Linked DNA regions of Diceros bicornis minor. The protein of the gene in region 2 binds, or shares a complex with, the protein of the main gene of each other region. Links are inferred from orthologs where the notes say so. Each region holds a gene or a part of one and is shown on either strand. Other genes may lie near its edges. The genes, in order: NCAPD2, NCAPG, SMC4 and NCAPH.

Region 1 (7,840 bases), on a different chromosome or scaffold from region 2:
GCACCACTTCCCACCTGACCTCTTTTTTTCCTAGCCTCCTCCACTCCAACCATACTGGCACTTTCCCATCTCAGGCCTTGGCACTGCTCTTCTGTCTGCTTGGAATGCCATTCCTTGAGAATCTGCACAGTCTTCACTTTTAAGGTCTCTGCTTAAATGTCACCTATCAGCAAGCCTTCTCTAATCATCCAACATAAAATGCCAGTCCCTACCCTGGCACACTGTATCCTTTTTATCTTGATTTATTTTTCTCCTTAGCACTTAAACAACCATCTGACATATTCCATATTTATTAATTACTTGGTGAGAGCCTTGAGAGAAAGAACTTCGTCATCTTGTCTGTTTTGTTTACTGTTGTATCTCCAGTGCCTAGAACACTGCCTGGCAAATAGCATATCATTAGTAAATACTTGTTGCACAAATTAGATTTTATCTTGTATATTTATAGTAGAATTTGTATTTAGGGTTCTAAACACCAAAAGCAAAGCAATTGTCAAAAAAAGAACTCTTAAAGAGAGTGATCATCCATTTAAAAAAATAATGCATTATAATAACTGAACAAGAGTTTGCTATCTTGTACAGCATGTGCAATTGGTGATACACATATCCACACAACATGGAGAGAACAGTTTATCTATGGACATTGTTGGCTGGCCACCCATCAGTCAACCTCCACACTCCAGCTTGTTCCTTGCTTACCAAATGGTGATATGCCCAGGTTTGGGGAGGCTCCTAGGTAATAATCTTGATCAATTTAGCCAATCTGGGTAATTCTATTTCCCTTACCAGTAATTAGTTAGGGAAATAGGCACATGATCCAATTCTGGTTGGGAGGCTTCTGGTAAAGTTTTAAAAAGAGAAAGAAGAAAGGAAAAAGAACAAGATAGGAAATCCCCTTTTCTACCTCTGGACATGAGAGCAAAGAGCTGCCACCTGGCAATCATGATGGGACGGCCAAGAGACAAGCTGGAGTTATATTATCAAGCTGCTGCATTAACCACCCCTTCTTGTTGTAGCAGATAATAAATGCAGTAGGTTATTATCCCTGTCTTTACAGATAAAGAAACCGAGACAAAGAGAATAAGTAACTTGTCCAAGGTCAGAGTGGTAGAGCCAGGATTCAACTTCAGGCAGCTTGGCTCCAGAGTCTTAGTCTCTACTCTATGTACCCCTCCAAAGCAACCTAACGGATACAAGACCATTTCCAATAAGTACAGTGACATTACAGGTCTTGCTGATAATGCATAAACTGTTCTGGGTCATCTATAGGTTTCAACAGGTAATTGCATTGTACATATACTGTACAGTGTTCCAGCTGTACATATACATTATGTTTTTTTGGATTATTGAACACTCTTGGAAACAAGAGATCTAGACTCCAAAAAAGTGTTACCTGAAACAGGTCAGGTCAAGTCCCAGACATTCTGAGAAAGCTATCTTCTCCTATAATTCTTAAATCCACCAGGACTTTATTTTGGCATATGGTAAGAGATAAAGATCTAAAATAATTTTTCACCCCAAAAGTAACCATATACACCAAGACTGTTTACTGAACAACTGAGAGAAGGTAGTCAATGAGTGTACTCTTCCTGTACACAGTGCTAGGGTGAAAACAGTACGGAATAGGAAAGACGTTCCTTGCCCTCATGGAGCTTAGTGGTGTAGTGGAACAGAGAGACGATAAATTACATGTGGGAGGGTTGTTCTGAAGTGCTAGGCACAGCGGCAGCTATGGAGTCTTACCTCTAAGCTGTGAGGGAAGATTTCTGATGGACAGTACCTCTTGAACAACATACTGATTCACTCCTCCACTTTTCAACAATTCCTCCGGGGATAAGGGCAGACGGAACTCAAACAGTTGGGGAGACATCCTTCTCCCACTGGCTCACCTGGCTGGAAACCAGACAGCCAACAGGTCAGGGTCTGTATTTAAGGCCTTTTTACCTGGTCCCATTATTTCACCCCCTCTTCCAACATATAATGCTTTTTCAGTCTTACATCAAGCTGATAACATTATCTTAGAGGATGTGAGATGGACCCTGGAGTAGAATCTAATTTCTAGTTGCAACTCAGCCACTTGGTCATGTCACTTAACCCCCTGGGCCTCATCTGTAAGACAGGATTACTAATCTTTGATTACTTTACAAAGTTGCTTTGAGGATCAAATGAGTCAAGGGGTATGAAAGTGTTTAAAGAACTGTAAAGTGGCATACCAATGCGTTAAGTTAGCATTATTATTTCTGTTTTTATGGGCAAAACTTAAGTATAGAATGTCTCACCTGAGGCCAGAACAGCGGCCCAGCACGGGCTAGTGGGTTTCCTGGCTCCAGATGGGAGGGTATTAACACTTACTGCTTGTTTACTCTTCGCCAGATTTTGCTGGGCTATTTGAATATATCATATCTGATCTAATTCTCCAAACTCCAATCTCATGGAATGCAAAATAATACAAGCCAATTTACAGATAAGGAAATCGAGGCTAAGAAAGGTTTAAGCGATTTGCCCCAATTCCGCTGCAGATGCCAGACATCCTGTTTCTACCACATCGTTCCGCAAGGATACATCCACCAGACCGCCTGCCTCTCGCACGCTGCTACCACCGCGGCCCACTGCCCCGGACCCGATCTTCCCGGCCCTTCATTCCCCGCTCCCCACTAACATCACACCTTACCCGAGAACCTCACCCTCCGTTCCTCCGATTCGGGTTGTGGGGCTGAAACAAACGAGAAAACACGGGGTGCACAGTGCGCACCAATCAGTTAGGCAGCACTCAAGAAGGCAGAGAAACCGGCCAATCCCCGGCAGGCGGAGGCAAAAACCCGTCTCAGAGCCCCGCGCCGCGCGGGCAAAACCGCAAACAGGAGTTCAAAACTCAACGGCCGCAAGGGGGCCAATCGCGACGCTCGCTGCAGAAACAGGCCAATCACAGCGCAGGAGCCGGAAAGCCCGGCGGCGCCGCCGAGGGAGGGGCGGGGCCTAGACTCGGACTCCAGCCCCCCGTCCCCAGCCCCCCTAGTCCTGCGGCTGCCTCCCGCCCACTGGGTCCTCCTCTTCCCCGGTCGGTGGGGAGGCGGCCCGGGCAGTGCCTGCCAGAAATGCCGCGTATCAAGGTGGGCAGTGGTAGTGCCCCTGGGATAGAGACCCACTCAGTCACCCCCAGGACAGGCGGCGAGTCCAGGCCGGGAGTTAGAAGGTTTAGGCTCTAATCCAGGTTCCGCCATCTCGTCTGCTGTGTGACGTCCAGCAGGTCACTTCACTCTGAGCCTCAGATTTCCTCCCCAGTAGAATAGGGCTAATAACAGCTACAGCGCAAAGCTGCTGTGAGGCACAGAGACAGGAAGCTTTGGGTTCCAGGTTCTGGACCCTCATCTCCCTCACAGTTGAGGGATGCCCAAGGAAACAGGAAAGGGTGAGTTTTCTTGAAATTCAGTTTTGAGGCGCCCTGCATAACGACGAGATGAATCCCTGAGCAAGCCTGGCGCTCCAGAGCTTCCGGCGCGGAGGCCGGAAGCGCCTAGGCGGGCGGGTTGGAGGCGTGAGGTGTAGAGGCCTCCGCGAACCGGAACCCGGAGGGTGGGGCTTGTGGTGGGGGAGGCGGGGTCAAGGCGGGCCCTGCGCCCGGAGCTACCTGGGTAAAGCCCAAGATGGCTGCCTCCGTGTAGTACCCGTGTGAGGTCGGCTGGGGCAGTCCCGGTGCTTTCCTTGAAGACTACGTCTGGCCCTCGCTCTTCTGCGCGTGCGGTGTGCTGTTGTAGGGCGGAGACGAGAGCCATGGCAGGGAGCCTCTCTTGGATGGCAGGCAGGGCCTTAAGGGGCTGGGTGCCCCTGGCTTGCAGAAGCTTCTCTCTGGGTAAGTGGCTGATGTGGAAAGACGTCCAGAGAACTGCTTCTCAGTAAGCGGCTCAGATTTATTCCCTTTCTTCCCCATCCCTAGGTGTTCCTGGATTGTTCCATGTAAGGGTCACCCTCCCGCCCCCCAAAGTAGTTGATCGTTGGAACGAGAAGAGGGCCATGTTCGGGGTGTATGACAACGTTGGGATCCTGGGTAAGACTCGACTTCATGGTACAGGATTTCAGAATGGCAATTATGCCGTAGCGACTATCTTTTTTTCACCTGTGTAGGAATGGTACCTTTGTCAGTCGTAAGAGCAAACACTTGTGTGGCTGTTTACGTTGTGTTCTGCACTGTTCTGAGTGCCCTACATGTATTAACTCATTTAATCCTCATAATAACCTTTTCACTTTACAGGTGAGGAAACTGAGGCACAGCGAGGTTAAGTAATTTTTCAAAGCTAGTAAATGGGAGTGTAAGAATTGAACCCCAAGCAGTCTACCTCCAGAGTGTGTTCTCTTGATACTGTAGTGTAATGTGTCTTGTCTGTGGGTGTTGCTCAGGAGGATGCAACTGTGTGTTGAAAGCTTAGCTGGTGGAGGGTGGGTTCTCTCCTCTTGGAGCTAATATGTTCTCTCACATTACACAGGAAACTTTGAAAAGCACCCCAAAGAACTGATCAGGGGCCCCAGATGGCTTCGAGGCTGGAAGGGGAATGAATTGCAGCGTTGTATCCGAAAGAAGAAAATGGTTGGAAATCGGATGTTCATTGATGACCTGCACAACCTTAACAAACGCATCAGCTATCTCTACAAACACTTTAACCGACATGGAAAGTATCGGTAGAAGAGAAAGCTGGGAGCTGTGGAAGAGGCACATCTATCCCCCAGCAGAAGAGGGACAGTACTTTCCCTTAAGAGGAAAGGGATTTGTATGCTCTCTGTAATAAAATGGAGCTTCTTTGGAATCTGTTATCCACACACTTTGTTTTCCTCTAGATGCTGTTTTTACCTGTTCATCTAGACTATGCAGTCTGACCCTTCCCTAAGTCTTAGGTTTGGACTTCACCACTTGCCCTTTGCAGTCTAGCCATACCTATGGCCTTTAAAAAAGATTATTGTTGGCATTTTTGGACATTTGGCCCTTCATGTATAGAAAGTGGTGATTTTTTTTTTCCGCTTTTTCTCCCCAAAGGCCTAGTAGATAGTTGTATGTCATAGTTGCACATCTTTCTAGTTGCTGTATGTGGGAGGCAGCCTCAGCATGGCCGGAGAAGCGGTGCATCGGTGCACGCCCGGGATCCAAACCCAGGCCGCCAGTAGCGGAGCGCACGCACTTAACCGCCAAGCTACGGGGCGGCCCCTGAAAGTGGTAATTTTTTTTTTTTTTTTTTTTTTTTTTTTGTGAGGAGATCAGCCCTGAGCTAACATCCGCCAATCCTCCTCTTTTTTTGCTGAGGAAGACGGCCCTGGGCTAACATCGGTGCCCATCTTCCTCCACTTTTATATGGGACGCCGCCACAGCATGGCTTACCAAGCAGTGCGTCGGTGCGCGCCCGGGATCCGAACCAGCGAACCCCGGGCCGCCGCAGCGGAGCGCGCGCACTTAACCGCTTGCGCCACCGGGCCGGGCCCTGAAAGTGGTAATTTTTAATTGCCCCATAATGCTGTTATGTTAAATGTGCTTTTACAAACCTTTCCATACTGGAATGAAATGTAGTAGAAAAATGGAGTTGTACTTCTGCACTATTCTCATAAAAAAATATTGGGTAACTTTTCTCAGCTGAGAACTGTAGGAAAAACAAAAAAGCATAATATATCCTTCCCATTCCCTCCATATGCTTTTCCAGTTAGGGGTATCAAGTTATATTCTCACATGTACACTTCAATATGAGGCATTAAGGACCATATGAGTGGTTTGAAAGGGTGGTTCCCCAGCCTGACTGATCATCAGAATCATCTGGGTGGTTTAATAATTTCAAAGGCCTGGGCCCTGCCCCCAAAGATTTGTGATCTGTAGAGCTGAGCTGAGTCTTATGCATCTGTGTGTGTTTTTTTAATAATTACAAAAAATGTATCTATACAAACAACACAAAATTTAAAAATTACAAAAGGGTAATCAGATGAAAAGTCTTCTCACGGCCTGTTTTTTTGTGCTTTTCAGAGGCAACTACTCTTACAAGTCTTTTTAATCCTTCTGGACGTACACTATGCATGTGAAGTTTATTAACTATCTCCTTTTAAAAAAAGATTCTGTGCACACTGTTCTGTACCTTTTTCACTTAATATACCTTGGATACTGTTTTATATCCTCACATTATGTACCGTAATGATTTAACTAGTTCCATTTTGATAGACATTTAGATTGTTTCCAGGCTTTTGCTTTTTCAAAGTATGACTCCCTTAAATTTAGGTAATTCTAATTTTAAAAGCAGTCGGGTGAATTTAGCAGTGTGTGGAAAGCACTGATGTGGACAATAAATGACCTAGATAAGAGAATATATTTGGCCTAATCGGGAGAGGCTTCATACAAGAGATTGGATTTCAGTAAGCAGAGAAAGCATTTCCACTGGGGCAGAGACGAGTGATGAGTGGTGTGTGGTGAGAGAACACAGATCTGTTGGGAGGTGGCGAGGTAGATCTAGCTAGAATGAAGTAGGACACTATCTGCTCTTCTGACTTTTAAAAACTTGCTTGGCTGTGAATCAAGTAAGTTTGACATTACCCAATTGAGAGGAGAAAAATGTCGCTGCAATTTCTACAATCGTGTATTGATTAGGGTTAAATTTAGGATGTCTGCAGTGCCTAAAGTAGACTCTCAATAAATATTTGCAGAATGAAATAAGGAAAGTATTTGATGTATTGCTTTTAAAGAAATCTTTTATGTGGGTTAAAAGTGCTATTTGTGTTTCTTGGAGGGTTGATAATGGCTAGTCTCTGGTATAGGCTATTGGTGAATATGGCCTTTGGAATCAGACAGGTCTGGGTATTACTGCTTTGGAAAATGGAAGAAGGAAAGGGAATGCCTTTTAAGGTCCCTTTTCTTTGATTTGTCTGAGGCTCTAACTCATAATATTTTTGCTTTTTGATTTTACTTGGATTTATGTGTCTTTGTGTCTGTCTTCCCCATTAAGTATGCCTCATCCCCACTGAGGGCAGGGACTGTCTTGCCCTTATTTGATAACTGCAGTAATCTAATATCTGGTCTCTGTGTACTGGCTCTTAATAGGCCCTTGATAAATATCTCTAGGAGTCCTTCATTCAACAGCCATTCACTGAAGGCCACCAGTAGGTGCTAGGGATACAAGGAAAAAAAAGATACTACTCCTGCATTTAAAGAATTCTACTTAGTGCAGGAGGCACACAAAGAAGAATAATTATAAAATTCATTATATCATGGCATTTATTTTTTTTATTTTTTATTTTTTTGTGAGGGAGATCAGCCCTGAGCTAGCATCCGTGCTAATCCTCCTCTTTTTGCTGAGGAAGACGGGCTCTGAGCTAACATCTATTGCCAATCCTCCTCCTTTTTTTCTTCCCCGAAGCCCCAGTAGATAGTTGTATGTCATAGTTGCACATCGTTCTAGTTGCTGTATGTGGGACACGGCCTCAGCATGGCCGGAGAAGCGGTGCGTTGGTGCGCGGTGCGAACCCGGGATTCAAACCCGGGCCGCCAGTAGCAGAGCGTGCGCACTTAACCGCTAAGCCACCAGGCCGGCCCCTATCATGGCATTTAAAGCTTGTTAATACCTATATACATAAGTATAGAGAAGAGGGACACATCTCATCCTGGGGGAGCAGGAGTGGGGGTAGGGAAGGCCTTCTGGAGAAGGCCATTACTGAGTTGTCTTAAAGGAGTAGAAGCTAGCAGGTTTTCCAGGCAGATGAAACAGAAACAAAGGTCCAGAGGAGAGAAACAGCATGGTGTGTATGGGAAAGCTGTGAGTGGTATTTATTGGTGGAGCTAAAGTGCATGGCAAAGATAGGGCAGGAGATGGAGGCAAGAGTT
Region 2 (7,422 bases):
CAGGCAGAACACTTTAACAGGCATTACATAGAAGAAATATAATTGGCTGCTAAATATAGGAAAAGATGCATAACAATGACGTATATCATACACATAACCAGATTAACAAAAAGTTAAAAATCTGACAGTACCAAACACTGGAGAGGATCTAAATCAATTGAACACTTTCATGCACTATTAGTGGGAATGTTAATTGGTAAATTGTTTTGTAGAACACTTGTACCTCATCTAATAAAGCTGAATTCACACATACTCCAACAAGTTCACCCCTAGGTAAATACCCTAGAAAAACTTGAGCCTGTGCACCAGAAGCCATGTATAAGAAAGTTCATAACAACACTGTTTAACAGCAAAATAACTGGAAACAACTAGAAGGTCCATCAATATTAGAAATATTAAACTGTGTTACATTCATACAACAGAACACTATACAACAGTAAATAAATATATCAACATGGATGAATGCTACAATTAGAAATAATGTTGAGAGCACAGAAAAATATAGTATGATCCACATAGCATACAAAATGACAGGCAAAATTTAACATTATTTAGAGATACATACATGTGGTTAATTGTTTAAATAAAAAGGCAAGAGAATAATTAACCCAAAATTCAGGATAATGGTTAACTCTGAGGGACAGTGATGTATGTAATTGGGGTGGGACGTAAGATAGGTTTCAAGGGTACTGATGATGCTCTATTTTTTCAAGTTAGGCAGTGGCTACTTGGGTATTTTTTTAAAATAATATATATAAAACACCTATACTCATCCATACATATAATTCATAATAAAAAAATTTGTCTAATGAGAATTTAACAAAGTCAACGAAAGTGAAAAAGGATTTAGGGAGCTACACGTACCATTAACCACTGGGCATTCATCATCTTTGGGATCCTGAAGACGTGAAAGAGCCAGAACTGCCTGTATCCTCACATTTGGAATTTTATCTTTCAATCTAATAAGCATGGCTTCATTAATTTTATCAAACAACTCATCATCAATCTGGGCATTTTCTGGCATACTTCCCAAAAGCTTGTTTATGAGCTGGCACACTCTAAATCTAACTGCATTGCTGTTTGCTTCATGAGACTGAAACAGAAACACATCAAAATTTATTCATAGTCACATACTATTACTAAATAATCACACACCATTTGAATTATATGTTTAGAATTCAAGACGTTACAAAGGTAATTCATTCCTTGCAGAGAAACCATAATGCTACCTTGACTCATAGGAAAACTAAATATACAATATATAAAAGCTCAAAATATACAGTCAGAAGTAAATATGGGCTCAATTACAAGAGCATATTCCCCTCTGTAGGAACTCTTACTTTACTTCCAAAATAGAGAACTCATTTAAAACACATGTATGTGATAACTGGTTTAGAGAAGTCACTAAAAATTTAACGCTGGAGTTATTTTAAAAGTCCACCTTTTAATCTTAACGACAGTTCTAATATTTCCTATAAAAAGCAGACTCATTCACAGACGTTCTCCATTATCAGATATTTCATTCTCTAAAACATACACACTCCCAGGTCCCTTTTAATATAGTAAAATTTTCTACAGTACTTCCCAAAGTTCTAGTTTTCATAATACCTTTAATAGAAAAGTAAACAAATAATTTAAAATGTCACCATCTTCCTCTTCCTCCTCATCTTCCGGATCTGACTGGTGAAAGGAAGTAACAAACTTGGCTGCAAATTCTACGACCCTCTCCACAGCTGGTTCTCGTTTATAGACCACCATAGCATATTTAAGGTAATGAACGAACTCCTCATGAAAAACTGTTTTATTATCCATCTGAAAGACAAAAGAAACCTTCACAAACTGCACTGATAAAATCCTTTTTTCCCAACATTACCCTAAGACTGCTGAAAGCACTAGCCATAACTCAGACAAACCAAAATTATTTAGTAAACTCTCAATTATCCAAACCATCAAAGGGGACATGAATTTGCACGAATTTCTCTCCAGGGACATTTAATTCTCCTAGGGAGAAAACAAACGCGAATTTTGACAGTGAACGGATTCCTTTGGTATTTTTTTTTTTCCAATACCCTTGAATTCTCCATACGCCTTGGTACCGGTTTAAATACGCTTCATGAACAACCCAAAACCAACAGGGCTTTTACATTTTACCATATGTAGCCTTATCGACACACCAATTTCCTTTTGACATAACTTTCACATCCCTTCTCATATCCTCAAGCCCTGTTATACTGACTCACCATTTTTCTTGGACTTCCAGATAATTTATTTTCCCGAAATTCACTGCCCTATTCTTCTCACAGCTCCACTCAAAAACAAAACAAAACAAACCCCCAAAACAAACAGTATTCACGCGAACAGAAGAGCCAGGTGCTAATGACGCATCTGCTCTTTGGTGGTTTGACTCAATGTACCCGGGGGGCGAGGTGAGAATGCTGTGACTGGCGGTCGCTGTGGGCGGAGACCCGAGGGACACGACCACCGCGTCCAGGAGCTACCCTGCGGCCCAAGACTTGGTGCCCGGCAGCCCCGGTGCCCGTAAACGTTCCTCTCCGAGTTCACCGCCCGACAAACGATTAACGGTCCGCGCCAAGGCCGCTGTGAAGAGGGGGGGTGCCCGGGCGACCTCGGGCAAGTCGCCAGACCTGTCCCCGAACCGGGTCGGGAAGGGTAAGGAGGTTGGCGTCGCGGCGCCGAGTCCGGAGGGTCAGCGGAGGCCCCTGGGGGAGGCTGGGGGAGGCTGGCCGGGGAGGGCGGGGCGGCGGGGCGCCCGGGACCGCGGGCCGGCCGCGCTTACCAGGCCGTAGGTGCGGCTCAGCGCCCTCACCAGCTTCGCCTGATTCTGGTGCGGCTGCTGCGCCAGCCGAAAGACCTCCTTCACCGGCAGCAGCCTCTTCTCCACCCCCATGGCGCCGGGACCCCGCTGGGACGAGCCCTGTCCGCGCTCGGCTGCAGCTGCCGGACCGACCACAGGCCGAGTAGCCGCAGAGTCCCGTCAGCCGCCGCTGGGCGCCCAGGGCGTGGTTACCGCCAGACTGTTTAAATAACTCCCGCGGGAGACGGAAATACCGCGAGACTGCCGCGAGAGCTTCAAGAGGCGAGAGCGGGAAGAGATGGATCCACCCCTCCCTCAAACCCCGGCGTTTGGGCGCATGCGCTTAGCCTCAATCCAGTCATTATCCGAGTGGGAAGTGGCGTTTCTAAGAGGAGGGGGCGCCGGCTCCCCCGGAAGTGGTGCCGGCAGGGAGGGTGAGCGGAGTGGCGCTGCTTCTGTTGGGACAGAGCTCGTGGCGCTAGGCCTAGCCGGGTCGTGTGGCTGGGCGTGAGGCGCGAAAGGAGAAAGGAGCCTCCATGGGTGAGAACAGGGAATCTGCTGAAGGGAACAATCCCTGCTCCGCCTGAAGGGGAGCAGGGGATCCCGGGAGGAGGGGTACATTTGGAGATCCGTCGAGAAGGGAAAGATAGGGGGGCGGCCAGCGGCCCGGCTTCTACGAAGAAGGGAAACGTTGCCGGGTCTGCCGAGGGGGGCGTTCCGAGGTCTGATGATGGAGGCGCCGCCGTCTTTTTAAGCCTTAGGTCCTCGGTTTGTGGAGGGTCTGCAAAGGAGGGAGACCGTCCGAGAACCGCTGCAAAAGGAGGCACGGTTTAATTTAGATACAGCTTATTCCAAATGTACCCGCTTTCGAGGCCCGGTTACAAAGGTGCATAACGACAAGGTATTCGACAAAGCAGAAAACAGAGAATGGAAAAGTGTTTAGGTAGTGGTTAAGATAAATTTGGAGTGCCTTGGAGCAGGAACTAAGCCTTTAAGCTTTTTTAAAAAAATGGAATTATATCAGACAAAAACGAACACCTCCGTACCCACAACCAGCTAAAGAAATAGATTAAAAGCCGCCTGTATACAGTTACTATGAATTACCTTCCCTCCCCAGCTGTAACTGATTTTCTGAATTTACTGTCCATTTTTATGTATTAACGACATGAATAAATCACAGGATAGGTATATTGTATTGTTTTCACATTCTAACATTATATGAGTAATCATACATGCAGCTTGCTGTTTTCGATCAGTATTTTTTTTGAGGTTTGTTCATATTGATACTTTCATGATAATAACTTAAACCTTGTGGGCTCTTATGTGCTAGGCACTGTTATCAACACTTAACTTCATTTAATCCTTACAAATAACCCCTGTAAGGTAACTTCTGTCTCCTTTTGAGATGAGGAAACTGAGGCACAGACGGGTTGCTGTAGTATTCTATTGTATGAATATGCCATAATTTATTCATCCATTCTCTTGTTTCATATTCCTAATTCCTGAAATGTTGTAGGTATTCAAATGCTAGTTAAAGTAATGAATATAGTAGCATTTGGGTTGCCAGTAATTTAAAAATTACAAGATGTCTAGTTTCTGAAAAGGTGAGAAGGGTAAGTATTTTAGGTTAATCAGCTGGAGGAGAAGCATAGAGCCCTAAGAATGCATGGAATACCTATACTGATAACATTTATAATCTCACTATAGCTAAAAGGCAGAATGCCTGGAAAGTTGTGGTGAAAGAAACCTAGAAAGGGCATTAATTTTTTAAGGAAGTATATCCAAAATATTATCATTTCAACATGTAATCAGCATAAATTATTAATGAGATAATTTACATTCTTTTTTTTCCCTGCTAAGTCTTTGAAATTGGGTATTATTTTACACTAGCTATATTTCAGGTAGGCACACGTGGCTAGTGGCTACAGTATTGGACAATGCAAAACTACGGATTCTTACTTTGAGAACCACTGTATATGCCATTCGTTTTACATGTAAAGTCAACTAGTAAACAGAAAATTAGAACAAACTAATATTTGGAGGCATTTTTCTTATTCTGTGGCCGTTAATTACTCAGCTTTCTTTATGCTTTGGGTCCCTGATACCTTTATTGCTTTGTTTGACTGTGAAGTTTCTAACAATATTATTTCCTTTATTTTATATGATTGTTTCACCACAAATGAGAGATGACTTCATACCATTTTGTCAGTTACAGAAGGATGAAGGGTCTGGCCACCAGAGGTCAGCCTAACTATATTTTGATTAGCTTTTTTTTAGGATTAATAACATGTTTTTGTTCAGTATTTATTGAACATTATAATCTGAAAAATTTAAAAAAAGATACTAGATTTCAAACTGAAAAGGCAACCTTTGGAATAGGAGAAAATATTTGCAAACCGTACAGCCCATAAGGAGTTAATATTCAAAATATATAAGGAACTCATACAACTCAAAAAAACAAATAACTTTATTAAAAAATGGCAAAGGACCTGAATAGACATTTTTCCCAAGAAGACATACAAATAGCCAACAGGTATATGAAAAGATGCTTACCATCACTACTCATCAAGTGCAAATCAAAACCACTGTAGGACATCACCTCACACCCGTTAGGGTGACTTATTAAAAAGTCAAAAGATAAGTGTTGGTAAGAATGTGGAGAAAAGGGAACCCTTGTTAATGTTGATGAGAATGTGAATTGATACAGCTATTATAGAAAACAGTATGGAGTTTCCTCAAAAAATTAAAAATCTTTGCCATATGCTCCAGCCATCTCACTTCTCTCTGGGTATATATTCAAAGGAAATAAAATCACTATCTCAAAGATATGTCTGCACTTGCATGTTTATTGCAGCATTAGTCACAAGCCAAGATATGGAAAAAACCTAAGTGTCCGTGGAAGGGTAAATGGTAAAGATGTGGTGTATACACACACACACATACACAATGGAATACTATTCAGTCTTAATAAGGAAGGAAATCCTATAATTTGAAAAGCACAAGTCAACCTGGAAGACATTCTGCTATGTGAAATAAGTCAGACACAGAAAGACAAATATTGAGTGATCCCACTTATATGTGGAGTCTAAAAAAGTCAACTCAAACTCATGGTAACAAAGAGAAGAATGATCGTTACCAGTGGCTGGCAGGTAGAGGAAATGGGGAGATATTGGTCAAAGGGTATAAACTTTGAATTATAAGATGAGTAAGTTCTGGAGGCCTAATCTACAGCGTGGTAACTATAGTTAATAATTATATATACTTTGAAATTTGCTAAAAGAGTAGATCTCAAGTGTTTTTACCACACACAAAAATGGTAACTGTGAGGTGATGGCTATAGCTTGATTGTGATCATTTCATAGTGAATACATATATCAAAACATCACATTGTACATGTTAAATGTATACAATTTGTCAATCATACCTCAGTAAAGCTGGTAAAAAAGATGCTATATTAACCCTAAACATCAGTCTCACTGCCTTAAAGCTTACCTGTTTATTGACTTTGCTTTTAGTGCTATGGGAAAAAAACAAATAATAGCAACTATGGGAATACGTCTCTTCCTATTCTGGGTAAACTTAGTTTAGTTGAAGAAATAATGAAACTAAAGAATTTGTATGGTAAGGCTATCTAGTTCTGAAATCACAGAAAAATCATTCTTTAAAGGTAAATTATACATGGGAGTATATAGAGTAGATGTGGTTAATTCAATTTTGATATGGGAAAATTATGCACATGGCATGTAAAGGAGTAGCAGTGATGCGTTCACTCTAGAATTTATATATGCCTTCAAAGAGACTGTCTTATTTCTGCTAAAAAAGTAGAGTGAGCCTTTTAAAGAAAGCTTTGAGTAACATAATTGAAGTATAGCCAATTAATAATCTTGGCGATGGATTGAAAATAGTAAAAATATAAGAGAACAGAAGAATTAAAAGCCAATAGCTTAGCCTGTCTCAATTAGTAAAATAAAGACTTGTGGTATGTTTCGAATTTTCTTTTTGTTTTCAGATTGAACTAGGTAATAATATAAACTTCAAAGTATTTGCATTCATGTTTCTTCTTAAAGCTTAGGTTATAAGCAGTTCCCTTTATATTGCTTTAGTAGCATCATTGTTGATCCTGCTTTAAAAAAATTTTCATTTGTCTTTGTCCCACATATTACCAAATTACCTGAATATAATTTGGAAATTTTTGTCTCCCTAGAATAAAAATAGAACACACTTGTATTGTTACTTATAGCAGGACTTCGTCATTCTCTCTTTAATTCTTTTAAAAAATTTTCTAAGCCCCTGATATGTGCCACACAATGCTGGGAACTGAATTAGATAGAAAGAACATGTGGAAGCCGGAGAAATATTCTTTAAAGGAATATTACTGATGTGAAGACATACGGTATGACCTTATTAGCACAACTCTGTGTATATTTGAAACTAGACCTGTTTACTGACGTTCATTTTGGAAATCACTCCTACAGAATGGCGTAAATGGGATGTTGATATTTTGGTTTTTGCTTTTTTCATTTAGAGCTATGCGTTTAGTCCATCCATGTGGCTGTGTATATTTCTAATGTGCTTTCACCACGTTTTACCTACCCACTCCTCCAGTG
Region 3 (8,042 bases), on a different chromosome or scaffold from region 2:
ATAGTAAACGAATGCCTATTTAGTTCTTAGGATACTAAAACTGCTCAATGTTTTATTTCAAAAAGGTAAGCACTACTATGAGCTACTTGTAATTCATTTCCCTGGCTAAAAATTTTAATATTTTAAGTTTAATGGCAGCCACCACCACTCCTCAAAAAGAAAATATGGTCATGGGGGTAATGAAATCAATATCTGTTCTGCTTTAACCATATACTAATATTTGAAGGCCAATTTAAGCCAAAAATAATAAAATGTGCAATGTATTGAAATCTTTTGTGTTCCTTATTTGAAGTTACAAATAGCTAAATAGTCCAAGTCCCCTACCTTATCAATTATCTTTTGAAAATGAACTTCTACAGTACAACTCTGAATGTCCTTGTGTTCATCAGAATTGTGTATTAGTACCGAGAGTTTTTTAGATCTTATTTTTTGTGCTCGATAGCCAAACACAAAAAGCATAGAATCAATAACATTGGATTTGCCACTGCCATTTGGTCCAATAATACAGGAAAAGCGCTGCATAAAAAGAACAGAAAAAAAAAATAAAGTTAAAAAAGTCATACTAATTCTACTGATTTTAATCTGCTTGATTTTTTTACCTGCAGCAAACTACAACTATTCAAAGTTTTTACTGCTAGAAGATAACACAACTTAAGTTGTCACATCATGTTCTCCTCCATCACAAGCTTCAACACATTAAATAAGACTATATTCTAATTCTCACTCAGAGTTTTTACAAAATTCATTCTAATAGAGAAAACACACCCTTCAAACAAAAAACTCACCAATTCTATTTAGCGAGGAAAACTTTACAGCATAAAGAGGTACCAAAGATAACCAGATAAACAAAAGCTAAATCCAGTGGTTAAAAGGATAGGAAACATGCCCTGTGTGTATTGATCAGGATAATTACAATAGTTACACAATTGAAACATCTTATAATAAAGACACATTACCTTATAACAGTTATTTCAAATGGTCAAATACCTTATGAAAAGGGCCCAGAATTTTTTCCCCAGCATAGGATTTGAAGTTCTGGTTTACAATATGAGTTATCATAAGCCGAGGAGCTCCAGCTTCATTGGTCATTGCTGGAGGTGGGGGAGGAGGGATGCTATTTAGAATCTCTTCTAAACTTCTATTATCAATTTCCTCACTTGGAGTCTCTAAATCAGGCAGAGAAAACGGAAGGCAAAGGAAAAAAAAATCTGCATTAGTGCAATTAGTTCGGAGGACTAATGCCTGCTAATCTCTGGAGACATATTCTTTATGAACCTTTATTTTCCACTTAAATATAATACTCTCCTAAACTCACCGGGGATAAGAATCTTTCAGCTTGGTTTTATTTAAAAAAAAAAAAAAAAATTGTTGAAAGAAATGCCACCAGTCACAAAATTCTATAGAAATACACCTCTTAGGAATCAAAACACTACATCATCAAGCAAATCTGGGGAAACCACAACAACCTAATTCCCTGCTCCCGCCTAAACAGGTGGTTAAATGCAGCTCTCTCCGTCTCTTTGAGACGGAGCCTAACTTAGGGTTAGCCTGGAACCCTAACTTCGGACACTCACGAGCTCCAGCGATACTGTCACAGGAGTTGCATAATGTCATCCAACTCCCGGACTCACAAAAGCGATGCGGTTCCGAGTCAATTCTCATCTTCTGTTTAAACGCAACTGAAGACCCCGGAGGTGAGGTGAGTAAGTGTCAAGCAACTTTTCATCGTATTAGCATACAGGCAGGTTGCTTCTGTCGGACACTGGCTGCCCGCGCCGCTTGCCGCGGAAACACAAGGCCACAAACGCACACTTGAAGCCACTGCTCGCCCCCATCCCCTCCAGCACCGCTACAGAGACAGTGCGCGAAGTCCAATCTCTGAAAATCGCCAACTCGCTTTCTTGAGCTGCTCTGGGGGCCCGACACGCGACCTCCAACGCCACCCCGCAGCCCTCCACCCGCTCCCCGCGCGGCTCGCTCCCCCGCGGGCGGCCGGCACTCACCTGCGGCCTCGGCGGCCGGGCTGGCGGCGCGGCCGGGGCCGTCCGGGGACCGCGGCGGCCCTTCCTCTCGGCGCCGGGCGGTAGAGGGCTGGCTGCCTCTGCGGGGCATGGTGGCTGGGCTGGGGGAGGGCGGGAGCCGGTCAGCCGGGCCCGGCCCGACGGGAAAACCCCGTCCTCCGGGCCCTGAGGGCCGTTCTCCAAGCCCGCTCCGGCCAGCCGGCCTCGGGAAGGCAGGCACAAGACCCCAGGTGCCCGGCGGCGGGGGGGATCGCTTAGATCCCAGTGCTAAGGGAGCGGGGGAACCCAGACGTGCCCGGGCCTTCGGTCCTTCTGCTTTCTGTAATGCCCCCCATTCGCCCACGGTACAGGAGTCACAGAATGTTCTCGTGTCCTCCTAACCGAGGTCACGCGCCCGGAGATGCCATTCCCGCCTCGGGCCGGGAGACTCCTCCAATGGCCGCCCGCCGCGGTCGCCCGCTCCCCGCTTCCCAACTGGGCGCGGGTAGCCGGGCTCGGCTCAGTCACCCGGGCGGCGGCGTCGGTCCCTCGGGGCGCGGCACAAGCCGCTGGGTCATCGACTACGAAGGGTCAGCAGGACGGGCTCGGACCCGCGGTCGGGGTGGGGCGACGCCCCTGCCCGGGAGAGCCCGTGTTCCCTGGAAGAGCTCCGCGCGGCCGACGGACCCCCGACGGCGGCGGGAGCGCGGGGGAGGGGTGACAGCCGGAGAGCCCCCGCCGCAGCCCGGACGCGCCGCCCGGCGCCGGCCTCTGCCCGGGGCCCGCCGACGGACGAGAAGGGAGAGTGGGAGAGCCTGGGCAGGAAGGAAGGCCTTTACCTGCGGACAGTCCACTCAGACCGGGGCTGGGACCGGCTGCGCAGCCCCCGGTCTCCTACCGGTGTTTCGGCTCCGGGTCCTTCACTCGAAAATGGCGCCTAAAATACAAACTCGAACGGAAATTCGTTACAAATGCGCGCAGTGCTTTCTGGGAACCACTAATTTGAAAAAAATGCGGCGATTATCACCGCCATCTTCTGGTCGCTCACGCGCAGCCGCGAACTCTTGGCGGGACCCACGCGGCAGGGGATGTTTCTACTAAGAGAAAAGGAAGAGCGAAACAGTGTTTTCCCGATGGCCTACGGCAACACCACTTTTATAACAAATTAAAAAAAGAAAAACAATCTGGCGAGTTCTGAAACACACGAAAAAAAAGAGTGGGGTTCCGCCCACAGCTAGAGGCGGGGCTCAGTCGTCCAATAACGTCCCTGAAGGAGAGGGCGGGCTCGCTGAGGGCGGGGCCTCGGGCCCGCTCGGGTGGCGCGCGGCGGTGAAGTATCGCGGGAAGACGCAGTGAGCGTAGATCTTAGAAGTCACTATGGTGACAGGGAGGTTGCGAGGCTGCTTGGTAACCGGTCCTAGCTCTGCGATAACAAGTGCCACCGCTTTCCTGGACCTTAAGGTAAATCTCTTCCCTTCCAGACGTCGTGCGGAAAGGGTTTGGAAGTTGTGGCCATCACTGGATCCCACCATCCTGCTTAGACGGTGTGTGCGGCGCAGAGCGTCAGTTGTTTTCCGTCTCCCTGGGGGCAGTGGGGCTCTGGACGGAACTTTTGGGATGCCAAGGAGGAAGCCATGAGTGTGGAGGGAGTGGTGGGACAGCAAGGAGGAGAGAGGACCTGAATTGCTGAACGATCGTGTAGTCCACATGTGAAAAGCAAAATAACGATTTTGATTTACTGAGGTTAGGTCATTAGCGTCACTGGTGAAACGGGGTTTTGGGCCTTTAAAATCATTTGACTGAAAAACTCCGTAATGGAAGAAACGATTTGCCAGTGTCATCTGGTTCTCTTTATGAGAAAATTATCGATCGGCAAATATTTCTTAAGTAGCTTTTGTGTATATTACACTGTGCAAGGCATAATCAGGATTATTAAGCAAGTATTCCTGTTCCAGAGATGTTAGTTTTGTTAGTGGGTTTTTAATCTGGAATCTGTGGATCTGGTGGTAGGTGATTGGGCGTCAAAGGAGTTCATAACCCCCCCGGAAACTATATACAAAATTCTGTGTGTTTGTGCATTTTTCTGGGGAGTTAGTTTTCCCAGAACTTTGATCAGATTCTCAAACGTGGTCCTAATGCCCCACAATGTTAACTGGTTGATTTGACTACCTTGAGTAAGTATTTATTCAGCGACTCTTACGTACTTGACAGTGAGAACTGGGACCGTCTTTTTTTCCTTTAACTTTTGTGTACTTAGGGCCTGGCATACTAAAGCACCAATAAATCTGCTTTATGAATGAATTTACGTTGTGATTCTAAGTAAGTATTATGACTTTTGCCCTGAGGAGCGTCAGGCCTGGTCCAGGGATTCTCAAGAAGGGGTGTGAAGGACACTCCTTGCAGGTGTATTAGATGAGGTTGGGAAACTGTGGTTTGAATAGATATTATAATATACCTTTACATTTGAAGTTGAAAAAAGAATTATTATTTTCATAAGACAAACTACAGACAATAAAGCTCAATGAGAGAAATTCTTTGGCATACCAAGAAAATGTAGCAATTCTCTTTGAGAGCTTCTGGAATCTGTTGGATTTTCGAAGTTTGTAAAACACTGCAAAACCTGAGTTGGAGAGATATCAACCATGAAAAAAGCAGGTCTAGACCATGTTGAGTGGTGTATATGGGAGATAGAGCACAATGTAGTAGAAAGATGTAACGGAGAAAAGAATCCCAAATCCTATCATTTTTTAGCTACGTTCTTGAACAACTTAATTTATCAACTCTCTGACAGTATTTACTATAAAACCAGCATATAATACCCACCTCATAGGATTGGTTATGATTGTTCATCTAGCACACATGCTATATGCATTTGATATTGCTGTGTTCATGACATTGACCTTCTTAGGGTATGTGCTAAGGATGAATAATGGGATGTCAAGTTAGAAAAAGGTTAACTAATGAAGGGTCTTGAAAGCCAGGTCAAGGGTGTTAGATATGATATGGAGGAAACACCTATTAGAAAAAATTTGAGCTAAGGAATGACTTGGTAAAAAACAAAAATTAACAGTAGTTATGTGGATTGTGTTAAAGGGGAAAGAGACTGAGATCAGGCATGACTTAGTTAGATTATTACTGTACAGTCCTCCATGTGGACGGTGAGAAGTGCCTACAAATAGAATGGAAAAAATCCAGACACATTTAAGGGGAAAAAAATCTATAGCTTTTGCAGATTTTAATGGTTAAGGGTCTAAACCCTGGGCCAGCTCCATGGTATAGTGGTTAAGTTTGGCAGACTGCACTTCAGTGGCCAGGTTCGTGGGTTCAGACCCCGAGCATGGACGTACACCATTTGTCAGCCATGCTGTGGCAGGACCCATGTACAAAACAGAGGAAGATTGGCAAAGATGTGAGCTCAGGCTAATCTTCCTCAAGGAAAAAAAAAAAAAAACAAGATTCGCAACAGATGTTAGCTCAGGGTGGATCTTCCTCAGCAAAAGAGGAAAAAAATAACTGATAAAGGTTTAGGACATTTCCAGTACACTATGATCTCAATAAATGTTCTTTAAAAAAAAAGAGTCTAAACCCTTAAAGTTAGTCAGATACCGTTCTTTGTTTATAAATCCCTGAATTAGTGATGAGGGGATAGGAAGAAGGATAAGTCACAGATAAATCCTAGTTTACTGCCTTTGATGATTACTGTAAATAATGGTAGATCTTAACGACTGATGAAAAAGAAATATAATTTCAATAGATCAATAAAGTGATCGATGGCTTTAGATTTAGTTGAACCTAACCATGTTCCACTCAGAGCAAATATTTTCAAACAGGCTTAAACTGAGGGCCGGCCTGGTGGTGTAGCGGTTAGGTGCGCGCGTTCTACTTCCGCGGTCCAGGATTCACAGGTTCGGATCCCTGGTGCCCACTGACGCACCACTTGTCAAGCCATGCTGTGGCGGTGTCCCATATAAAGTAGAGGAAGATGGGCACAGATGTTAGCCCAGAGCCATTCTTCCTCAGCAAAAAGAGGAAGATTGGCATCGGATGTTAGCTCAGGGCTGATCTTCCTCACACACACACACAAAAACAGGCTTAAACCAGGTTGTATAATGTAGAAAAGGCATTCATAACAAACAGCTACAGAGTAGACTTAAGTCTAGAGTGAAAGTAGGACGCTGAATAAATGAAGAAGTGATTTGAGAAGAGATCAGGGTCACAAGAAGTACTCGATTGAGGCCTGCTAATGCTTTGGATAAGTCTCATGAAATTAACAGAGTTTAATTATAAAAAGAAGCTGGTCCAATTGGAATGGACTAGGTTACAGTCATTTTGGAAAGTATAACCAAGTTTCATCTTTCTGGTCCAAAATCATCTACTAACAACCGTTATCTATACTGAGTCTGAGAGGAGAACTTTCACATTTTACATTTTAAAAGTAAAATTGTATCCCACAGGAAGAAATAAGAATAAGTTCAAAGAGAAGAATTGGAATTAGAGTTAAAATCCACATTTATAATTCTTTAAGTGCGTGGTTAAGTTTTGTTATTATAGCAATAACATGTGTTTTGTCTGTCTTCTAATGTGGTTATAACATTTCATTGTCTTAAATTAGATTTGTGGGTAAATGTTTAAAAATATTAATCAAGTTTGTAATTGTAAATATTTGGATTAATTAGATATTAACTAATAATTCAAAATGAACAAATAAACATGAATTTATGTAACTAATGTATAAATACTTAGAGAATATTATTCAAGATTAATAAATAGGATATAGACACAGGACAGATAGTAATGAATATTCCTCTTGATAATATAAGCCCCCTAGTACATTAATCTTGCTGAAACTCTCATCCGTCTTAATACAGAAACAGTAGGAAGTGAAGAAGTGGAACAGTTTGGGGAGAAAGACCGTTTTGAAAGATGAGTTTGTTTTTATTCATGTAGGTTGGGATTAGGAAAGATATATCCAGTGGGCGGTAGAGGTGGAGAATAGGATAAGAGAGAATAGGCTCAGTAGAGAAAACAGGATGAGATAGTGTTATAAGAATAGTTGGAATGCTAAAAATAGATTAGGTTTTTAAGGTTGTGAGTAAAGAGAGGATCACCCAGAAAATGTCCATTCTTAGAATCTAGGAAGAAGAAATAATTATAGCAATGTTTCAGGTAGGACTCTCTAGATTATAAGTGACAGAAAACCGAATCCAAATTGTCTTGAGAAAAACATATTGGCTCTCATAACGAAAAAGGCAGATGAGTATAACTGGATTCAGTGTCCAAACAAAGACACCAGGATTCGGATTCTTTCTTTGCTTTCCTTTGCGTTCCTTTGTCGTGGCATTGTTCTCGGGCTCCATGTAGTGGCCTCTGGCACCTCCAGGCTCTCCCTTTGCTGTGGTAAGATATAGTAACTCCAGCCTCAAATCTTCTAAAATTAAGGACTGAGGGTAAGGAGAGTTTTTCTTCCCCATGATTTATTTGAATAAAAGTCCTGGGCCATCTGTGAAACAGTCTTAGTACAAAGGGAATGGAATGCTCTAATTGGCTTAAATCTGGGTCTCATGCTGGCTCCATTCAAGCCACATGGGCTAAGAGTGAGAAAGTGGGTGTTCCAAGGAGAAATTCTTTGTAGCTAGGAAAAGAGTGAATATGTGAAGAGTGACAAAGACATCAATTTTCACTACAAAGATCTAATGATTGTTAGGTTCTTACTATGTTCTAGGCACTCTACTGGATATTTTACGTCCTTGATCTCATTTAATCTTCATAACCAACCTGTGAAGTAGGTATTATTAGCCCCATTTTATATAAGGAAGAAAACAAAGTACCGTATCTGGAAGATTACTAGGTGAGAGTTGCAATAAGAAGGGGGTAAAGTACGGTAGAGACTGCAAAGAGAATGAAAATGGTGATCTTGTGAAAAAAAATATAACCATTGTTAGGTTTATTTATTTATTTATTTTTTTGTGAGGAAGATCAGCCCTGAGCTAACATCTGCCAATCCTCCTCTTTTTGCTGAGGAAGACTGGCCCTGGGCTAACA
Region 4 (7,798 bases), on a different chromosome or scaffold from region 2:
AGAATTGAGATAATGTATTTACTAAAATTAAAGAGCCAAAATCTGATGAGCTTCTCAGTGCCTGGAAGCAACATTATAAAACCCTTAATGAAGACAATCTTTTGGGGGGCTCTGAGATGAACAATTACTGTTTCTGGGGGAGCCACTTGTTTGTTAAATGGAAAGAAGGTTGAGCCACCATGTGTAGCTGTCTGTGCTTTTTCTCAGTCTGGTAATGCCTTTGTATTCCCTTTTCAAAGATCACAAAGGGATTATTTGAACTGTGTTTGCGGTTTTGTAAAGTGGGGTCATCACAATCCAGGCCCATTGCCAGGGTTGGACGGGAAGGGACTGTGCAGCAGTCCAGTTCTAACAAACTCTGGATTCTGGAGATGTGGTTGGTATATCTTTCCCTTCTTTTAAACCCTTGGGCATCCTGAGGAGGAGTGCTAAGAAATGTGACTCTAGCTGTGGGTGTGGTTGTTTTGGGAATACCAATGCTCTTCCTACCCTGCATGCCAGGAAGATCTGCTGGGGAGGAGAACCTGGCCCCACATTTAATTTGACTCAGGGGGGTTTAGATCCTGGCTGTATGGGCTTTGGTTGTAGAATCCACACCCTCCCCCCAGCAAAAATAAATTACAAGTGTCCCAGAAGCTGATGCCAGTCAATAGTTGGGGCTCCCACTGCCAATAGCTGCTGTGTTCCCCTGTTGTCTGCTGGTATCTGCCAGGTACTGCTTTCGAGTTAAGATGCAATGATGGTTGGTTCGATGCTAGTGGGATTTTCATGTTTTATAAACATTCATATGCCTTTTGTTTAGAAAATAATTTGCTGGTGTTTTGCTTCCAAATCAATAAAGGAGGCTATTTTCTGTATCAGTTGGCATCCGTGCAATGACACACACAGCACATCAGCATTCTCACATGCCTGTTCCCAAGAAGTTCATGTTACCCTGATAGCTTCATCCAGTACATCCTGGTATTTCTCAACGTACCTTGAACCCGTCTGCCCTGTGGTTTCCCAGTGGCATGGCCAGTAGCCAGAAAAGAATAATTCAGAATATGAAGGAACATTGAAGGTATTCATTTGCATGGTGCCCTAAATATCAGCCAAATTAAAAGATCTCAGTGGCTGCAAACAACATGCGTAAGCTCTAGAAGGCATAAGTCTGTCAGGTAGAAAGAAGGTGGTATGTTCTAGAACTGCATGGGTTCTAGTCTAGTAAGAGGCAAGAAAGAAAACGTAAAGTTATGAGTGGGCAGAAGACTACAAAGGGAACAGTCAGTGAAGCCTGGGTGGGGCAGAGGGTGTAAGAAAGAGTATAGAAAAAACAAGTAGTAATGGAAAGAACAGAGCTGGAGTGCTCTGGGAATACTCTTACAATGAAAGTGGAAACTTCTCCAGATATGTAGGAAGCTGAGTTTTATTCTGAAACAATACCTGGCTGGCACCCAGGATATAACAGCAGTTAAAGTAATGGGAATCCTTAGCGTCCATTGAGCACTGCCAATGGTCCACGCACTGGGCTAAATGCTTCACATCTGGTAACTCATTTAATCCTCACACTATAACCCCATGAAGTGGGTGCTTTATCTCCATTTTACTATGAGGAAACTGAGTCACAGAAAGGGTACACAACTTCCCCAAGGTCACACAGCTAGTAAATAGCAGAGTCTGGAAGAAAATACCTGTCCTAGCAACCTTCCAGCATGGTTTTGGGAATAAAACAAGATGTAAGGGTTAAAGTGCTTGGAAAAGCAAAAAACGTTATATTAATTTTAAGATAAAGGGTAGCATGTTGTTTGGAAATTCTAGAAGACAGAAATTGTTGGTTCTTAGCCCAGTCTTTAGGAGGTCAGGAATTTCATATCACATACAAAAATTAAAGGCATTTGCTCAGAGGCCAAAATGAATGCAAAGCCATTTCAACTACATGCCTGTTGAGCCCCAGTGACTTGATGGTTTATATCATGAACTACATTATGATATAAGCCTGCTGCAGCCTGGAAGGTCGGGGCAAATTTGAAGGCAAAAGATTGCTTGTTCAGGTAGCCAACTGATTGACACTATTGTTCCTCACCTAAGCTAAGGCTGTTTGCCCTCCATTTTGAGGAAGTAGAATCTTGGCGAGGAGTGAAATGGGGAAGGGGAACCAGTGCTGCTTTTCTGGCAGACAAGGAGTCGGGGAGGGGCCCCACTACTTTATTTTTGTACAAAGGAAATGAGCTTTGCATAGCACTGATACCACTGATAAATCATTCACTCTTATGGCACCCTCATAGTCCTAACCCCAAACAACAAAGACGGCATTCAGAGTGGGAGGTGAATGATCTGTGTGCCTGCACCCAGTGGGCCTGGCCCACAGAAACGCAGGGGGTGGAGCTGGCTCTGCCTTCCAGCACATGAGTCCCAAGCAGTCAGCTCAGGAGGCTCCATTATAACCAGAGAACAGCCTCATGCCTCACCTAACGGGTCACCTAGTAGCCTCCTCTGCCAGGAGTTCCAAGCCAGTTCTTCAGAGGCTCCTCATTCAGTGCAACCTACCACCCTCCCAACCCCCACTGCTCTTAGTTGGCACACACACGGAACCCAGAGGATCACAACCTGTTCCCACTCTCCTCTCTCAAATGCACAGTGCTCCACTTCAGCGGCCCGGGGTTCCCGGGTTCAGAACCCCGGGCACAGACCTACACAGTGCTCATCAAGCCATGCTGTGGCAGCATCCCACATACAAACTAGAGGAAGACTAGCACAGATGTTAGTTCAGGGACAATGTTCCTCACCAAAAAAAAAAAATCAAATGCATTCAGCACAGAGGGAACAAGTGAGTGAGATGACAGGGACTCTAGTGTACTCTGAGCCCATGTGCTCACAAGTTTAATCTAATACCTAATTCCTCATCAAGCCCAGAGAAAGACGGTTTTATCATCACTATTTTATAAATGGGGAAGAAAATGAAGCCCAGAGATGTTCAGATGCCCAATCCAGGATTTAAACTTGTCTTCCAATATCGTTCATTCAATACATACTTAAGTACTTGCTGTGTCCAGGGCTAGCACCAGGCCCTGGGAAAACAATGGTGAGCAAAGACACAGCTTTGTCCTCATGGAGGTGACAGTCTATGGAGGAGCCAGACATGAAAGAGTCACCCCAGCAGATGTAAAATTGCAAAGGTGACAAGTTCTACTAAAGCCTCCAGTAAGAACAATTGAGCGATATCAGGGAAGGCCTCCTTGAGGAAGTGACGTGAACTGAAACCTGACGGTAGCTAACCGGGTGAAGATGGGCATGAAGAGGATCCTATGTGGAGGACGTGGCATGTGCAGAGGCCTTGTGGTGGGAGCAGGCATGGTGAGGGTGAGTCTGAAAGAAGGTCCAGGTGACTGGAGGGCAGGGAGCAAGGGGAGGCAAGGTGCAAGATGAGCCTGGAGAGGCTGCAGGGACCAGACCCTGCAGGGCCTTGTAGATCACTTTAGAAGTTTCCAGAGCAGTGGAACTTGAGAGTGGTTTTAGACTTTGGGGAGGAAGTGACAGGTCGGATTTGTCCTTAGCAACCACCACCCTGGGCCCAATGAGAAGCGGGTCAGAGTGGGTGTGGGGCTGCTGCAGATGAGCAAGAAAATAATGTGGATGGAAAGGAGAGATGCAGGATTGAAGAGATTTTTTAGGAAGTAAAGAGCTCAACGATGGATTGTACAGTGTGGAGAGTGAGGGGAGGGAGGCATCCAGGATGGCTCCTGTGAGCTGATTTGGGTTCTTGGGAGGCTGTATTCACTGAGACGAAGAATACTGTAAACTTTTTCTCTATCCCACACTGCCTTACGCTAAAGATTTGAAGGTGGTCGCTGGGAGCACAAGTTCCTGAAAAACCAAATAGGTGTAAAAAGTGGTTTTCAACAAAGGGTAGTGCTTTTTGGTTGCCAGAATGACTGAGGGGCACTGATGGCATGGAGTGGGCAAATGGTGTCAGGGTTGCTGAACAGTCCTACAAAGAGAGCAAGAGTCCCACACGTCAAGAACTGTTTCATCCTGAATGCCAATAGCATCCTTAAGAAACACTATAAAATGCCAGGTGTGTATTATAAGAAACTATAGGATGTTCTAGGGATATTTGGAGGAATTGTCCTGGCCTTTTCCTCCCATAATACAATTCTTGGGATCAGATGAAGCAGAATGAAGGGATAGGTGGCACATGACACCCGTCTCATTTCCAACCTTAACTTTTTTTTTTTGAACGGGGGGTGGAGATATCCAGGAAGCTTTTCTCAAAATTCTGAACAAAAACGATGGCCTTCCTTTAAAAATCTACATGCAACATTTTGCATCTGTCCTTCCCCTGCCTGGAACGCGCCTCATTCCGGTGTGGGCTCCTTTTCATCTCCGTCCCACACCCAGCCCATCACTTGCTACCTCCTTAGCGTTTTGCTACCCTCACAGCACAGGTCGCTATGGGAAATCAACTCGTTTCCTGGTAATCCGCTTCCCCCATTAGAAAGTAAATTCCGTGAAAGCAGAGCCCTCGCCCTTCCTGCTCCACGCTGGGTCCTTAGCGCCCAGTTCCGCGTCCAGCGCCGAAAGCAGGGAGTTTTCATACCATTTCGGAAGGGTGCACGAACCCGCTACAGTACAACCACCGGATCCCAGTCCCGAGCCCTCAATCCGCGACGTCTCACTCCTCCGCGGCTGGCGCGAACCTTTTCCCGCGGAGGACAAGGAGGTCTGCGCAGGCGCGCCCCTGGCCCCGCCCACAGGCGACGTCACTCGGGCCGTTACGGCGCGCAGGCTGTTACGGCGCGCGATTTAAACCGCTCCAGCGACGCGGGGAGAGAGATGGGAACTCTCTGCCCAGGTGAGGCTGGGTGGGAGGGGGGCGCTGCGGGGGGGGCCCGGCGCGAAGCGGTGCTCCGAGCGGGCAGGGCAAGCGGGCCTGAGCGGGGAGTGCGGATGTTCTCCGCCTTGTTCTCTGCGGGCCGAGGGGGAGTGAGGCCGGCGGCGGGGAAGGGACAGGCGGCGGGTGGAGTGCGCTCCGCCAATCAGGACGCGGCTCTGGCCAGCGTCGGGAGCGCGCGCGGGCCGGCCCCACTCGTCGGTTCCCGAGCGGGGTGTGGGGCGCCCTCCCCGCTGGGGTCCTACACCGTGCCTGGTGTCTCTCCATTAAGAAGGGGGTGTTCCTGGAGTGCACGTTAGTTAGGACCCTCGAGGCGTTGTGGTTACCGCTGTATGCTTAGCGCGCACGCATCTGGTTTTACATTCGTTCAACAAGTACTGAGCGCTCCCTTTGGGCCAGACCCTCGGTCAGGTGCAGAGATACAGTAAAGAACAAAACAGACACGATCCCAACCTCTGGGAGCTTGTATTTTAGTTGAGGAGACACAGTAAACAAACGAAACAATTACAGATGAGGCTGTGATTGAGAAAAGCGGAGTGGGGGAGGGGCCCCTATGGATTAGGGATTCAGGGAAGATCTTAAAGCAGAGACTGGGCAACGTGTTCCAGGCAGAAGGAGGCAGTGCAAAGGGCAAGCAGGAAAGCCTGGCTTGGGCTAGGATGGGAACACTGGCTAAATAGTGAGGTCACTCAGGTAGCCAGGGACTTTGTAGGTCTTGGTAAGAGGTTTGGAAATTTAGAGTTACGTTTTGGACATAGTAAATGACTTACCCGAGAGACAGTCAGGTGAAGGAGTAAATAAACACTTGGATAAGAGTTTGACACTTAGGGGAGTGATATGGGTCAGGAAAGTGGCCCATGGATTTAGAAATAAGTTTGGACATCATCATCATCATCATGTAGATCGTAAAACCGTGAGATGACCGTGAGATGACTAGGAAGACCCTGTAGAGAAAGCACCCAGGGCCAACATTTAGAAGCTGGATAGGGAAGGAAGAGCTGGAAAAACTCAGAAGAAAGTGGTATCATAGAGGCCAAGATTGTTTCACGAAGCAGGAGGTTGTCAGCTGTTTCAGATACTGTTGACTCTCAAGAGAGATGAGACCTGAAAAGTGACCGTTGGATTGAGTGACCTGGAAGTTGCAGGTGATTGTGATAAGATGCTTTTCATTAAGTTGGGGGATGGGAGCCAGACCGGAGGTGAGGAAGTGGTTGCAGAAAGTGTTTTTGAGCTCAGTAACCATCTGTTGAATGAACAGGTGCATGATATTAAAGGCAACGAGGGAAATCAAAGAATATTCCAAGAATTGAAGCGTGTGTCTAATTCCCATCTTGAGTCTCCCTCCTAGACAAGTTCCTCCCTCAGTGCTTCCTATTTCTGTTAAGGTCTCTTCTGCCAAGGTCCAGTTCCCTTCCTTACCTTGCAGTGCCCACACCGAATAGTCACAAGCCTTTTTGGTTCAGTCTCTAAAAATGCCTCTTGCCTCCTTCCGTTTTTACTTTTTCTTTTGTTTGTTTTGACCTCAGCTGAGAGTCATGTTAATCATACACTTCAGCTGGTGGGAAGCTATTCGGGGAAAATGTAAAGTTCTTGTATTTTTTTTTATTCTCTTTTGTCTCTATTCACCACTCCTTTTCCCTTTCCCCTCACATGGGCAATCATTTAGTATTTATTGTGTATCACTGTTTTTAGTGTGTTCCTATAAAATGTTATATTGTACTTTTTTTTTTCTTTGTGAGGAAGATCAGCCCTGAGCTAACATCTGATGCCAATCCTCCTCTTTTTCCTGAGGAAGATTGGCTCTGAGCTAACATCCGTGCCCGTCTTCCTCTACTTTATATGAGACACTGCCACAGCATGGCTCGACAAGCAGTGTGTCGGTGCGTGCCCGGGGTCCAAACCAGCGAACCCTGGGCCGCTGCAGCGGAGAGCGTGCACTTAACCGCTTGCGCCACTGGGCTGGCCCCCTATATTGTGCTTTTTTTTATATCACCAGTTCTGAACCAGCTGAGATGAACATTCTTGTTCTCATTTGGAGGATGAAGAAGCAGGTGCTTGGAGTATTTACTTGCTTGAAATTTCTCCAGCTGGTTAGTGATGGAGCTGGGGTTTGAAGCCAAGCCTTCTGATTCTTAAATCTGGAAACTCCCTTAAGGTCTCTCAGTTCCTTCATCTCTTTCTTCCAGTGATCTTGTTTCTTGCCCTACCATAATAGGCCATAGCCACTGACTACCGTAGTCACTCCGTGACTTTGTCATTATCAACAGCTGCAACCACTCTATCTCAATCTTAAGCACCCCACTTCCACTCATATCTTTCCACCTCCCTCCCCCTTGTTCCCCGACGCCAACAGTCTTTTGACCCGGCAGACCTATGTTCTGCTTTTCACTGTCCCTCATCTCTCATGTCCTCGTTCCCCTCCTTACTTAGCTTACATGCCGTGGTCAGTCAACATAATCGCTCCCTTTCATACACCTGTAACTCCTTGCCGTCTTGCTTCTTTACACCCGCTTGACAAAATCATAACCCTGGTTAATCCCGGCTCTTCCCCAGCCACTGCACACTGATAGCTTCAAGGGGCCCTAGAGCTGCCCAGCAGTCATGCTGTGTTCCCTGCTTCTTCCCTCTCCTTCTCCTGGATGACTGTTCCCTAATCTCCTTTCTCTCCTAAAGTCGCCAGTACCTCGTCCCTAGCCCTCACCCTTAGCTGCTGAGTTTTTGGTTTTTATTCACCTCCTATTTTACTAAGAAGATAAAAGCAATCAAAAGAGAACATCCGCAAGTCTGCCATTGCACCCCCTCCCCTCTCTGCATCTGTGCCTGTGTTCTCTGCCTTCCTGTTGCTATGGATGGGCTGTCTGTGCTCTCAGCAAAGGCAACACCTTTACCTGCTTGAGTACATTGTTTAGCAACTTTTCCCCTTTCTTC

The links.
Region 1: NCAPG (region 2) and NCAPD2 share a complex: the UniProt entries of both Homo sapiens proteins name them as parts of the condensin complex. The link is inferred for Diceros bicornis minor from reciprocal best matches to the Homo sapiens genes NCAPG and NCAPD2.
Region 3: NCAPG (region 2) and SMC4 share a complex: the UniProt entries of both Homo sapiens proteins name them as parts of the condensin complex. The link is inferred for Diceros bicornis minor from reciprocal best matches to the Homo sapiens genes NCAPG and SMC4.
Region 4: the proteins of NCAPG (region 2) and NCAPH are in contact, whole or in part, in a crystal structure (PDB 6IGX), measured with the Homo sapiens proteins. The link is inferred for Diceros bicornis minor from reciprocal best matches to the Homo sapiens genes NCAPG and NCAPH. Residues at the interface, in NP_071741.2 of Homo sapiens: Lys11, Phe14, Arg15, Gln18, His50, Tyr51, Lys53, Tyr54, Val55, Met56, Val57, Glu62, Ala64, Val65, Val68, Phe102, Ser106, Glu108, Ala109, Asn110, Ser111, Val114, Arg115, Ile149, Arg150, Lys152, Asp153, Lys154, Arg159, Glu188; in NP_056156.2 of Homo sapiens: Glu471, Ile472, Asp473, Phe474, Glu475, Asp476, Asp477, Ile478, Phe480, Val482, Tyr483, Phe484, Arg485, Lys486, Thr487, Ala489, Ala490, Thr491, Ile492, Leu493, Gln501, Asn502, Trp503, Ala505, Thr506, Thr507, Leu508, Phe512, Tyr514, Val516.

The regions. Positions count from the first base shown.
Region 1 is NC_080756.1:55,179,496-55,187,335, forward strand, and holds the start of NCAPD2 (condensin complex subunit 1), read right to left. Parts: upstream 3,018-7,840; 5' UTR 2,685-3,017; exon of another isoform or gene 2,672-2,684; intron 1,894-2,671; 5' UTR 1,871-1,893; coding exon 1,744-1,870; intron 1-1,743. Other genes in the region: MRPL51 (large ribosomal subunit protein mL51), read left to right, coding at 3,772-3,850, 3,935-4,045, 4,482-4,678. UniProt on the Homo sapiens protein: Regulatory subunit of the condensin complex, a complex required for conversion of interphase chromatin into mitotic-like condense chromosomes.
Region 2 is NC_080747.1:14,138,852-14,146,273, reverse strand, and holds the start of NCAPG (condensin complex subunit 3), read right to left. Parts: upstream 3,003-7,422; 5' UTR 2,909-3,002; coding exon 2,798-2,908; intron 1,813-2,797; coding exon 1,609-1,812; intron 1,094-1,608; coding exon 865-1,093; intron 1-864. UniProt on the Homo sapiens protein: Regulatory subunit of the condensin complex, a complex required for conversion of interphase chromatin into mitotic-like condense chromosomes.
Region 3 is NC_080754.1:66,299,599-66,307,640, reverse strand, and holds the start of SMC4 (structural maintenance of chromosomes protein 4), read right to left. Parts: upstream 3,013-8,042; 5' UTR 2,840-3,012; intron 2,123-2,839; 5' UTR 2,113-2,122; coding exon 2,004-2,112; intron 1,167-2,003; coding exon 988-1,166; intron 517-987; coding exon 325-516; intron 1-324. Other genes in the region: IFT80 (intraflagellar transport protein 80 homolog), read left to right, coding at 3,378-3,461. UniProt on the Homo sapiens protein: Central component of the condensin complex, a complex required for conversion of interphase chromatin into mitotic-like condense chromosomes.
Region 4 is NC_080779.1:16,183,390-16,191,187, reverse strand, and holds the start of NCAPH (condensin complex subunit 2), read left to right. Parts: upstream 1-4,752; 5' UTR 4,753-4,812; coding exon 4,813-4,831; intron 4,832-5,146; exon of another isoform or gene 5,147-6,015; intron 6,016-7,798. UniProt on the Homo sapiens protein: Regulatory subunit of the condensin complex, a complex required for conversion of interphase chromatin into mitotic-like condense chromosomes.